Callithrix jacchus: one gene and its partners. The protein of the gene in region 2 purifies or fractionates together with the protein of the main gene of each other region. This does not show direct contact. Links are inferred from orthologs where the notes say so. Each region holds a gene or a part of one and is shown on either strand. Other genes may lie near its edges.

Evidence for each region.
Region 1: the proteins of GNA13 (region 2) and ARHGEF11 purify together in Homo sapiens (affinity purification with western blotting; 3 studies listed by BioGRID). This does not show direct contact. The link is inferred for Callithrix jacchus from reciprocal best matches to the Homo sapiens genes GNA13 and ARHGEF11.
Region 3: the proteins of GNA13 (region 2) and ARHGEF1 purify together in Homo sapiens (affinity purification with western blotting; 5 studies listed by BioGRID and IntAct, with this or other methods). This does not show direct contact. The link is inferred for Callithrix jacchus from reciprocal best matches to the Homo sapiens genes GNA13 and ARHGEF1.

What each region holds. Positions count from the first base shown.
Region 1 is NC_133519.1:17,334,257-17,337,899, reverse strand, and holds part of ARHGEF11 (rho guanine nucleotide exchange factor 11), read left to right. Parts: coding exon 1-70; intron 71-369; coding exon 370-732; intron 733-1,791; coding exon 1,792-1,887; intron 1,888-2,797; coding exon 2,798-3,045; intron 3,046-3,258; coding exon 3,259-3,448; intron 3,449-3,643. UniProt on the Homo sapiens protein: May play a role in the regulation of RhoA GTPase by guanine nucleotide-binding alpha-12 (GNA12) and alpha-13 (GNA13). Acts as guanine nucleotide exchange factor (GEF) for RhoA GTPase and may act as GTPase-activating protein (GAP) for GNA12 and GNA13.
Region 2 is NC_133506.1:124,266,787-124,271,025, forward strand, and holds the start of GNA13 (guanine nucleotide-binding protein subunit alpha-13), read left to right. Parts: upstream 1-1,399; 5' UTR 1,400-1,551; coding exon 1,552-1,834; intron 1,835-2,135; exon of another isoform or gene 2,136-2,305; coding exon of another isoform or gene 2,306-2,360; intron 2,361-3,068; exon of another isoform or gene 3,069-3,283; coding exon of another isoform or gene 3,284-3,326; intron 3,327-4,239. UniProt on the Homo sapiens protein: Guanine nucleotide-binding proteins (G proteins) are involved as modulators or transducers in various transmembrane signaling systems.
Region 3 is NC_133523.1:36,929,140-36,932,782, forward strand, and holds part of ARHGEF1 (rho guanine nucleotide exchange factor 1), read left to right. Parts: intron 1-256; coding exon 257-402; intron 403-3,643. UniProt on the Homo sapiens protein: Seems to play a role in the regulation of RhoA GTPase by guanine nucleotide-binding alpha-12 (GNA12) and alpha-13 (GNA13) subunits. Acts as a GTPase-activating protein (GAP) for GNA12 and GNA13, and as guanine nucleotide exchange factor (GEF) for RhoA GTPase.

The DNA of each region.
Region 1 (3,643 bases), on a different chromosome or scaffold from region 2:
AACCCCATCCACCTGGCCTTCCCAGGCCCTCTGTTCATGGAAGGCCTCGCTGATTCCGCTCTGGAAGATGGTGAGTGCCTCAAGGCCCTGGCGTCAGCCTCTGGTCCCCAGTCACACAGCCTATGTAAACTGACAGGCGCCTGCACCCTCCACCTTCCCAAAGACTCTCCCTGGTGTGCTTGGGGAGAGGTGGATGCGGAGACAAATGTCATTGCCCAGCCAACCCCCACCAGCTAGTTGGCCAGAGCCCCCCAGCTCTGCCTGTGCCTGAGGTCACCACCTTGCATGGGGTCAGTGGGGCAACACAGCGATCCCTCTGGCGTGGCGCGCAGTCCGGTGCTGGGAAGACACCACCCTGTTTCCCTCCAGTGGAGAACCTGCGACGCCTGATCCTGTGGAGCCTGCTGCCAGGTCACACCATGGAAACTCAGGCTGCCCGGGAGCCCGAGGATGACGTGACACCCACGCCTTCAGTCATCGGCGTCACCTCTCACCCCTGGGACCCAGGCTCCCCAGGGCAAGCCCTCCCTGGGGGTGAAGGGGACAACACCCAGATTCCAGGGCCGGAGGGGGAACGGCCAGAACAGGAGAACATGGCTCTCTGTTCTCTGGAAGATCTACCCCCAAGGACCAGAAATTCTGGGATATGGGAGTCTCCAGAACTGGATAGGAATCCGGCTGAAGAGGCTTCAAGCACAGAGGCAGCAGGAGGTTACAAAGTTGTGAGAAAAGGTAAAATAAACGGGCATGTCCAGTGCAGGGAAAAGCACCCTTGCTAGGTGAGATAAGTCTTCGGAACAGCTGCGTCCTTCCCTATGCTGCCCCTGGGTGTCGTGTGAGCAGAGACCTACGCTGGGTCCTGGAAGAAGGCGACGTGCCACTATCAGGCAGGCTTTGGAGCTGGACGGTGGAGATTCAGAGCTTAGCTCTGCCGCTTAATATCTGCGCGGCTTTAGAGAAAATTGTGAATCATCTCTCAACTTCATTTTGTAACACATAAGGGCATTTCTTTCTGCCTGGCACAAACCAACTACCAGAACCTGTCTCTGTTAGTGCTCCTCACTGAGCTCCTGGTCCCAGGGAAAAGAGCCGCCCTTCCCAGGAGCCTCAGCCCTAGACAGACGGGGCAGGGGCACGCAGCCCCTCACGCCAGGCAACAGCACCGAGGGCAACAGAGGTGGCAGCTGGAACTGGAGGGCGTGGAGGACAAGGCTGGGAAGACACCTGGCGAGTGAGGGGTCTGGGAGTGAACAGGGTGACAGGAAGGCAGCCCGGGTTGGGGAGCACCACAGGCGGCCTTGAGATAAGAAAAGCCGAGACAAGCTCGCAGGGAGGCAGACAGGTTTGCCTGGCCGGAGCAGTGAGCCCAGGGAGGAAGATCCTCACCCCGGGAAGAGTGGGCTAGTCTGAGAGGGTGGCAAGAAAGGCAGAACAAAGCCTGGGACACACACAGGGCAGGGTTCCACTAGGGGGTCTTGCGGCAGGGGCTTCCCGCCCTCCCCTGGGGCTCCGCTCTGCCTCCCTTCCAGTAGCGTTTTTATTCCATCTGCCCGAGGCCTGCCTCTCTCCTGGGTTTCTGGGAACTAACCTTCCTTCTCTCTCGGTGAATTGGTGGAAAGTTCTCTGCGCTGCCTGGGATGTCATCATGTATGATCTTGTGTTCACCTTGTTCTTCCCGTTTTCTCCTCCCCCTGCCCCCACCTCCCGCCCTCTCTCCTTCCTGCTGTCTCTCCCTTCCCTTTCCTTGTCTTTTGGTCTCTCCTCTTCCTGGTGGTGGTGGTGTCGGTGCAGCTGAGGTGGCAGGCAGCAAGGTTGTCCCTGCACTACCAGAGAGTGGCCAGTCAGAGCCTGAGCCACCTGAAGTGGAAAGCGGAACAAAGGCTACTGGTAATAACTTTCTCCTCGGAGCCAAAGACAGGCCAGGACTGGCATGTGGGACCTGAGGGCAGAGCCAGACCCCTGCCCGCAGTCACACACACACCCACCAGCTCCCTCAGCTGCCTGGAAAGGGGAGGAGGAAGATGTGGACCTAAGGATGCGGAGGGGCCCTGTGCTGTCCGTCCAGCTTTAAGAAGCCACCTGTCCAGGCTCCTGTTCAGAGCAGCAGGGATAAACACCTGTGTGCAGTTGTGAGAGGGGCAGGGAAGCCTGGCCTGGTGCCGGGAGCCCAGTGTCCTTCACCTGATACTCGAGCAGCTGCTTGCCCACCCCAGACGCCACTTGAGTGTCACTGTGGAAAGCGGCTGAAAGGGCCTCCCCAGTTCCGCAGTGGTCCTCTGAGCTTCCCGCCTGTCAGGAACCCTCCACGTCTTTCCTCCAACTGTCTCTGGTGCCCCTTGGTTGGGTCGAGGGACCTCCAGAGGCTCGTGGCATGGATGGCAGAGGAGCAGGGCAGGGCTGCAGTTCATCCAGAGCTGGAGTAAGGCAGGGCGAGAGAGCCGCCGCCTGCTCCTTTCAGAAGAGCCTGAAACCAGCCCCTGATCTGTTCACTCAAGGAGGGGGAGCCACTCCCGTTTCCCCAGATGAAACACTGCAGCCTGACACTTCTCCCTTGAGTTCACTGCTCAGCATCCCCCCAGGTTGGGGCCAGACTGAGCAAAGTGCCATCTAGAAAGGCTGGGGAGCAGGGCTTTTAGGGGGCTGGCAGACAGTGAGCAAGGGCCACGTGCTCGGGGTTCGCCTGGAGAGGGCTGCCTGGCCTGCGCTGTCAGGCGGCTGGGGAACCCCACGGGAGTGGGAGGATAGCTCCAACTTCTCTGTTTGCCTCCTGATCGCTTTTCTCTTCTTGTGGGGACAGGGAACTGCTTTTATGTCAGCATGCCAGCAGGACCCCTGGACTCAAGCACTGACCTTTCAGGGGCACCCACGAGCCCCCCTCAGCCTGACAGCTTCCCTGCAGGGCAGATAGAACCTCAGCCTCAGCTGCAGGGAGGCAATGGAGATCCAAGATGCCTCAGCCGCTCTCCCCCAAGCCTGGCCCTCAGGGACGTGGGCATGATCTTCCGTACCATTGAGCAGCTCACCCTCAAGCTCAACAGACTCAAGGTGAGGGAAACAGAGCTTGTCCCTGCAAGACTTCAGTCCGTCACCCCAAAACCATTCCCCATGAGCCCTAGATCCTGTCCTGGCCCGGAGATATTCCCCAGCTCACTCAGCCACTCTTAAATCACACCCCCTTCCCCAAGGCCCAGCACAGATCAGAGTGTGACCTTAGGAATAGAAGGACTTGAGCAGACATTCCCCCACCGACTCTTCCAGGACATGGAGCTGGCCCACAGAGAGCTGCTCAAGTCCCTTGGGGGAGAGTCGTCTGGTGGCACCACGCCCGTGGGCAGTTTCCACACAGAAGCAGCTCGATGGACAGACGGCTCCCTCTCACCTCCCGCTAAGGAGCCCCTGGCTTCTGACTCCAGGAACAGCCACGAACTGGGGCCCTGCCCTGAGGATGGTGAGTGAAGCCAGGTCCCTCTTGGTACCTACCGTGAGGGAGAAGTTCCCCAACTTGTGAGGACGCATTGCCAAGCAGTAAGAGATAGTGGTTCTGAGAGTCTGGTTTCCCCTTGAGTGAAACGAATTCATTCCCTCAGCTTCAGAGAGGGACCCCACAGACGCTTCCCCGCAAAATGGGGAGCTTAGAATTGAG
Region 2 (4,239 bases):
GGCTTTTTCAACTTGAAACTAAATACTAAGAATGAAGAGGTTGGCTTTGAAAGGTGCGGGTTAAGCAGTTTCTCTGCCAACCCACAGCTGTCACTTGTGGCTTGTCTCCTGGCCTTTCAGGTGTCCTGGCCTGAATCCGCTGCTAAGACAGAAAAAAAGTCCCCTGACGGGTCACATCCTCTGTAATCTGGCAGGAAACCTAAAATTTGCATGCTCCCATTCCTCCTGGTGTTTGTGTATCTGCTTCCTTGTTGGGAATAGCCTGCATCACAGTGTCCGGTGTAGGGGATTTTCACCATGACCTCACCCTCCTGCTGCCACTCACTGATTCCAGCCTGGCCAAGCGTCCCCGAAGCCACATCACAGCCCAGGTGGAATGCACATGACTGAGCCATTAAGAGCCCCTAGTAGCACGTCTCCGGTGAACATCAACTCCAGTTCTTTCCCCTGGTAAGGGGGGCGGGGCTGGCAGGGTCTGAAAATGCCAGAAAGAACTGCAAGTGTGGGCGGATGATGTCTGGTTACTGTTCTGGGATTCGGAGAGTAGAAGGTCAAGGGAGTCACCTTATGAAAACACACCAGGCCAGGGAGCAGTGGCTCCGTCTGGAATCCCTACACTGTGGGAGGTGAGACTGGAGGATCACTTCAGCTCTGGAGTTCAAGACCACCCTGGGAAACATAGGGGGAGACCCCGTATCTAAAAATAAATACAAAAAATTAGCAGGGCATGATGGCACACTCTTGTAATCCCTGTGATCCCAGCTACTCGGGAGGCCGAACCTGGGAGGTGGAATGAGCCAAGATAGCGCCACTGCACTCCAGCCAGGGTGACAGAGAGACTTCACCTCAAAAAAAATAAAAAATAAATTAAAAAATGAAATAAAGAAAATGCACCGAAGGCATGCCAGGCTCACGCCGGCTGTTCTGTTCAAATAACTTTCGAGTCCGTGGCCTCGAAAAGGGTCCGGTGGGCGGTGGCAGTGGGCAGCAGGCGCACGCGGGAGAAAGGGCGGCTAAGTGGGAGCCCAAGGAGCCGCGTCCGGTACCTGGTCTCCGGCCTCCAAGCCCAGGGGAAGGAGCCGTTCTGCCCACAAGTGGGCGCAGACCACGAAAGGGAAACAGAAAGTTAGACTCCCCCGCCCCGCCCACGTGACCGCGGCTCCCCAGCCCTCTCAGCGCGCTCCCGGCGGCGGCAGCGAGTGCGGGCACCGGAGCGAGACAGCAAGCGCGTGACTCGCCGCCCAGGGCGGGAGGCGAGGGAGCTGCCGCGGCGTGCGAGCGCGCCCCGGGAAGCGGCGGGAGCGCGCACGCGCCGGGGCCACCGCCCCTCCCGGGCCGGGTCCGCCCTCCTTCCCTCCCTCCCCCGCTCTCCTGGCCCGCCCTGCCCGGCCCGCCCTGCGAGTCAGTTCGCTGGTTCCCTCCCTCCCTGGGCGCGCTCGGGCCGCCGCTGCGCTCCCCGCCCTCGAGCCGTGGTGCCAGAGCCGCCCGCCGCCCGAGGAGGAGGTGGAGGGAGCCGGAGGGGCCCGCCGAGGCGGCGGCGGCGGCGGCAAGATGGCGGACTTCCTGCCGTCGCGGTCGGTGCTGTCCGTGTGCTTCCCCGGCTGCCTGCTGACTAGCAGTGAGGCCGAGCAGCAACGCAAGTCCAAGGAGATCGACAAATGCCTGTCCCGGGAGAAGACCTACGTGAAGCGGCTGGTGAAGATCCTGCTGCTGGGCGCGGGCGAGAGCGGCAAGTCCACCTTCCTAAAGCAGATGCGGATCATCCACGGGCAGGACTTCGACCAGCGCGCGCGGGAGGAGTTCCGCCCCACCATCTACAGCAACGTGATCAAAGGTGCCGGGCCGGGAACGGGGGCCCCGGCTGTGGGGGCCGGGGGACTGGGGCGGCGGCGGGCGCGGGGCCGGGCACCGCCCTCGTCCGCTCCGTCGCTGGCGGAGGACCGGGCTTGGCGGGCGTGCTGGCGGGAAGGGGGCGCGCCCCGGGCACTGGCCCTGCCCGCCCGGGGTGCCCTCGTCCCCCAGGCGAGAGGATGCTCGGGGGCGCCCTGTTCTCCCCCTTGTCTCCTCGGTGGGCGTCACGGCCATTCCCTCACCCCCCACCGCGCCCCTGGTCTCGCCCCCTGCGAGAGGGAAGTGAGGCGAACTGGGTGTCTCGGGGTATGGGAGACCTCTCTCGTCCTCCCCGCTGCGGATGAGGCAGGAAGACCCTAGAGCAGCCTCAGCCCCTGCACCCCCATTCCCGGCTCGGGCGATGTGGGCCGAACCTCGCTATCCCGGCTGAGTGACCCGAGTCACATGGGGTCGCATGCGCTCCCAACTCCCTGCTTCCTTGACCGCCTCCAAGTTCTGGAACCGTCGCAGTAAGGGAACTTTTTGCCTTCTTGTCAAGGGCGTAGGGTGGCAGCCTCCTTTTGGGCAAGGGTATGAAACTTGAGAGTGTCAGGTTGACTGTACTGGAATCAGGAGAGAGTAGACCCATACGGTTAGTCTAAAAAAGTAGCATCTGCCCTTTTTCGCCCCACTGTCACTGTCAGGTAGGATGTTTGCATATAATCGCTGTGCAGCACGCTCCACTCTCCTTTTCGCCAAGTAGCTGAGGGCTGGCGGGAAGGGAGTGCCACTACTTCTATTTAGATGAAATGTTGTAGTTGTAAGAAGACTGGCTTAAAAGTCATGTGGATCCTGTACAGATGAAGACAATGAATGAGTGTTGAGTTAGATAATTGGCCCTGCTCTTTATTGACAGTAGTTTTAAAATTAAATTTTGTTTTTAAGTGGAAAAATAAACAAGTTGTTTATTTCTGGGCATTCAAAAGAATCGAAAAGATGGTTTTTATTTTGTCATTTGAAAGATACTCATTTTTCTGTGTGTCATGTATGTTCTATAGAAAAGGCATTTTGGCAGAATTCAGGTGCAGAGCCTGATACTTCACGTGCATCTGGATTTTATTTTATCTAGGGAGCAGTTCAGGAGCTTGCTACAGATTGCAGGTTTTTTTCATGTCACTCCCACTCCTCCCCTCCCAGCGTTTGGGTAAAGGAAAACTGCCTGAAGAGGCAGGCATTGTGGAGTAATGACTAGAGAATCTCTAGGCCAGCAGCTCACAGACCACAGCCTAGAAGACCTAGTACCTCTGCAGTTAAACTATAAAGAACAGTTGTATTTACCCTGCTGTAATGTTTAGCACAAAACTAATTAAGGTCTCTTTCAAGGCTGCAGACTCTGCCTTAGTCCTTAATCGAAGGTACCTTTGTATCCTGATGCAGCTGAACTTAAGGAATTATGTTAATGAATAGCATCAACTTGTTAACTGATTGTGAGCCAGGTAAACACCTCGTTCTTAATGTACACTGAGTTGTTAAGTGTGATCTACTTTGAGCATTGATTATGAGATGAAGTAAGTTATCAGGAATCTAGTGTTTTTTAGTTGACATGAAAATTGACAATAAAACAGCTTTTTCAGGCTGGGTGTGGTGGTTCACTCCTGCAGTCCCAGCACGGAGGCCAGAGTGGGAGGATGGCTTGAGCCCAGGAGTTCCAGACCAGCCTGGGCAACATAGCCAGACCTCATCCCTATTAAAAAACAAAAAACTAAAAAACACCAGTTTTTCAGTTATTCAAACAAATGACTTCCTACTAGCCAAGTGACTGTTCAGATGGATCAAAGGTAATAAAAACAATAGATCAGTGATAGAAAAAGCAAGCTTGAACTAACCTCTGTGAGCTGGAGTTCAATTTTATATTATTTTGCAGTTGATCTTGCTTTTAGGGAAATTGAAGGCTGTCCTGTGAGTTAAACTGAACTGAAGCATGGGCTGGTAGAAGTTTTTAAATTTTGAATGTTCCTAGAAGACTCAACGTTGGGTTAGGGTGCCGAAGGAGATAACAGAACACAGAGCTAGAATACTTGGTTCTTAGTGTTTCATAAGTGAACATCTTTTAAGTTCATGAAATCTTGGTTGTATCTATTTTCTTCCATGCTTGGACAGCGGTCTATGCAGCATAAGTTCTTTTCCTTCTTGAGTTTGGTTCTTTTTTGACTGCCTTCTACCCCAGAAGTTATTTTATAAATTGGAACATGTTGAAAGTCCTTCAGAAAGAGCAATTGTGCTAATAGTATTTGTTTTCCAAGGCTCTACTTTTAAGACAGTGAGTGGCTGTTATTTTTTTAAGCTCTGAGAAGTTTTTGATGTTGGTCTCCATTTTGGGAGAAGGTATGTCTGGATTGATTCAGAAGT
Region 3 (3,643 bases), on a different chromosome or scaffold from region 2:
ATTGAGGAATGGGCATTGGAGGCTGAGGTCATTGAGGCCAACTATGGTCACAGACATTGGAGGAGGAGGGAGTAGAATGTTTTTAGAAATCTGGGGACTCTAGTCTGGTCAGATCTAGAGATCTGGTCTGTCACACGGGCTACCCTTGGGGCATCAAATGCCAAGGCCACTGACCGGGGTTGAACACTCTTAAGAAGTTGAAGTCTGCTTCCTGAGATGGCCCAAGCTGGGGCCCTAGCAAGACCTCTGTCCACAGCCCTGAGCCTGGAGATGACGGGGAGCCAGGACGGTCAGGACTGGAGCTTGAACCAGAAGAGCCTCCTGGCTGGCGGGAACTCATCCCCCCAGACACCCTGCACAGGCTGCCCAAGAGCCAGGTGAAGCGGCAGGAGGTCATCAGTGGTGAGTGCCATCCCATCCGCCTCACTGTGGCCAAGGACATAGTCCAGCTCTGGAAAAGGCAGAGACAGGCGCAGAGAGAAGTGCATCTTGGTTTTGTTTACTATAGGGAGAGCTTGAAGACAGCTTCAAACTCCCTCTTCTTCCAAGTTCAGATTGTTCTAGCAGAGAGCATTTCAATGAAATGTGAGTGCCACTGTGGAATGGACATTTCCAAATAATTTCTTTTTTTTTTTTTTGAGACGGAGTTTCGCTCTTGTTACCCAGGCTGGAGTGCAATGGTGCGATCTCGGCTCACCGCAATCTCCGCCTCCTGGGTTCAGGCAATTCTCCTGACTCAGCCTCCTAAGTAGCTGGGATTACAGGCACACACCACCGTGCCCAGCTAATTTTTTGTATTTTTAGTAGAGACGGGGTTTCACCATGTTGACCAGGATGGTCTCGATCTCTTGACCTCATGATCCACCTGCCTCGGCCTCCCAAAGTGCTGGGATTACAGGCGTGAGCCACCGCGCCCGGCCTCCAAAGAATTTCTGGTAGTGCGAGACAGTGCTGACGTTAAGAACATTGCATTGCCAGGCACGGTGGCTCACGCCTGTAATCCCAGCACTTTGGGAGGCCGAGGCGGGTGGATCATGAGATCGGGACCATCCTGGCCAACATGGTCTGGTGCAAGCCTTTGTTTCCTTACTTGTGAAATGTGGGCACTAATAGTTCCTACCTGAAATATTGTCATGAAGATGCGATGATTTATGTGACGTGTTTAGCACAGAGGAGGAGCATTTTATTTTTTATTTATTTATTTTTTTATTTGAGGCAGGATCTGTCTGTCTCTCAAGCTGGAGTGCAGTGGCATACTCATGGCTCGCTATAGCCTTACCCTCCCAGACTCAAGTGATCCTCCCACCTCACCTCCCGAGTGGCTGAGAACACAGGCCTGCACCACCATGCCCGGCTAATTTTTGTATTCTTTGCAGAGATGGGGTTTCGCCATGTTGGCCAGGCTGGTCTTGAACTCTTGGGCTCAAGTGAATCTCCTACCTCAGCCTCCCAAAGTCCTGGGATTACAGGTGTGAGCTACCAGGCCCAGTCAAAGAAGAGCATTTGATTTTTTTTTTTTTGAGACGGAGTTTCACTCTTGTTACCCAGGCTGGAGTGCAATGGCGCAATCTCGGCTCACCGCAACCTCCGCCTCCTGAGTTCAGGCAATTCTCCTGCCTCAGTCTCCTGAGTGGCTGGGATTACAGGCACACGCCACCATGCCCAGCTAATTTTTTGTATTTTTAGTAGAGACTGGGTTTCACCATGTTGACCAGGATGGTCTCGATCTCTTGATCTCGTGATCCACCCACCTCGCCTCCCAAAGTGCTGGGATTATAGGCATGAGCCACCGCGCCCGGCCTAAAGAAGAGCATTTTAATGAGATTGTTGTTACTAGTATGATCTTAATTGCTTAGGGAAGAAAAGATCCCCATAGGGGAAAGTTTGGGGGAATGATCAGTATATTAGCAGTGCTTGCTTCTGGGTGGAGAGATGATGAGTGTATCATTTTTGTCTTTGTCTTTTTTTTTTTTTTTTTTTTTTGAGACAGAGTCTCACCCTGTCACCCAGGCTGGAGTGCAATGGCGCGATCTCGGCTCACTGCAACCTCCACCTCCCAGGTTTGAGTGATTCTCCTGCCTCAGCCTCCTGAGTAGCTAGGATTACAGGCATACACTACCACTCCAGACTAATTTTTTGTATCTTTAGTAGAGATGAGGTTTTCCCCCTGTTGGCTAGGATGGTCTTGAATTCCTGACCCTCGTGATCCACCCGCCTTGGACTCCCAAAGTGCTGGGATTACAGGCGTGAGCCACTGTGCTTGGCCATTTTTGTCTTTTTCTTTTTTTCTGTGCTTTCTCATTCTGTGGTGGCTAGGGAGGTTGGTGGCAAAAAGAGAAAGCTTTTGGACTTGATTGAAAGCTTATTTACAGATTACTTCATAGTAAAAAAGGTACTTATTCAAACATTTTAGGGGAGTAGATGAGTACTTTTTGGGTCACAGATCCTTCTAAGGACATGAAATTTACAAAAACAAAAAATCACGAGCCATATCCTATCCAATAAGACTTTCTGGAATGGAAATGTGCTTTATTTGTACTGCTCACCTTGGGGACTACCAGCCACCTAGGGCTGGTGAGCACTTGAAATGCACTAGGCCAGAGGCAGTGGCTCATGCCTATAATCCCAGCACTTTGGGAAGCTGAGGTGGGCAGATCACTTGAGGTCAGGAGTTCAAGACCAGCCTGGACAATACGGTGAAACCCCGTCTCTACTAAACATACAAAAATTAGCCAAGTGTGGTGGCGCATGCCTGTAATTCCTGGTACTTGGGAGACTGAGACAGGAGAATTGCTTGAACCCAGGAAGCAGGACATGGAGGTTGCAATGAGCCCAGAACATGCCACTGCACTCCAGTCTGGGCTACAGAGCAAGACTCTGTCTCAGAAAAACAAAAAAAAAGGCGAGGCTTGGTGGCTCATGCCTGTAATCCCAGCACTTTGGGAGGCCGAGGAGGGTGGATCAGTTGAGGTCAGGAGTTCAAGTCCAGCCTGGCCAATGTGGTAAAACCCCGTCTCTACTAAAAAAATAATAAAAATTAGCAGGGCATGGTGGTGCATGTCTATAGTCTCAGCTACTTGGGAGGCTGAGGCAGGAGAATCGCTTGAACTCAGGAGGCAGAGGTTGGAGTGAGCCAAGATCACGCCATTGCATTGCAGCATGGGTGACAGAGCAAGACTCCATCTCAAAAAACAACAACAACAAAAACACTAAATACAACTGAAGACTGAATTTTTAAAATTTCATTTCATTTTAATTAATGAAAATATAAAGAGTTGCATGTGGCTAGTGGCTATCATGTTGGACAGCATGTCTCTCCAGAAAGAATATCCATAACACACAAAATCCTGCACTTTAGTCTCAGGGGACTTCTGGGGCCCCTGAAACTCACACATATGCCCTCCAGGGTTGGGGGGGGATCCCTGGATCTGAATCTGTCAATCACTATGTAATGTGGCCTGATGGTTAGACATTAAACACAGCTGCAAGCTTGCTGGCAAGTGGGATGACCAACTTGTCCCCGTTTGCTTGGGACATTCCCAGTTTTATCACTGAAAGCCCAGGCTGGCAAACAGACCCTTGGTCACTCTGGCTGGTTGCCATAGCAAAAAGGGAAAGGCAGTGGGTTGAGGAATCCTCAGTG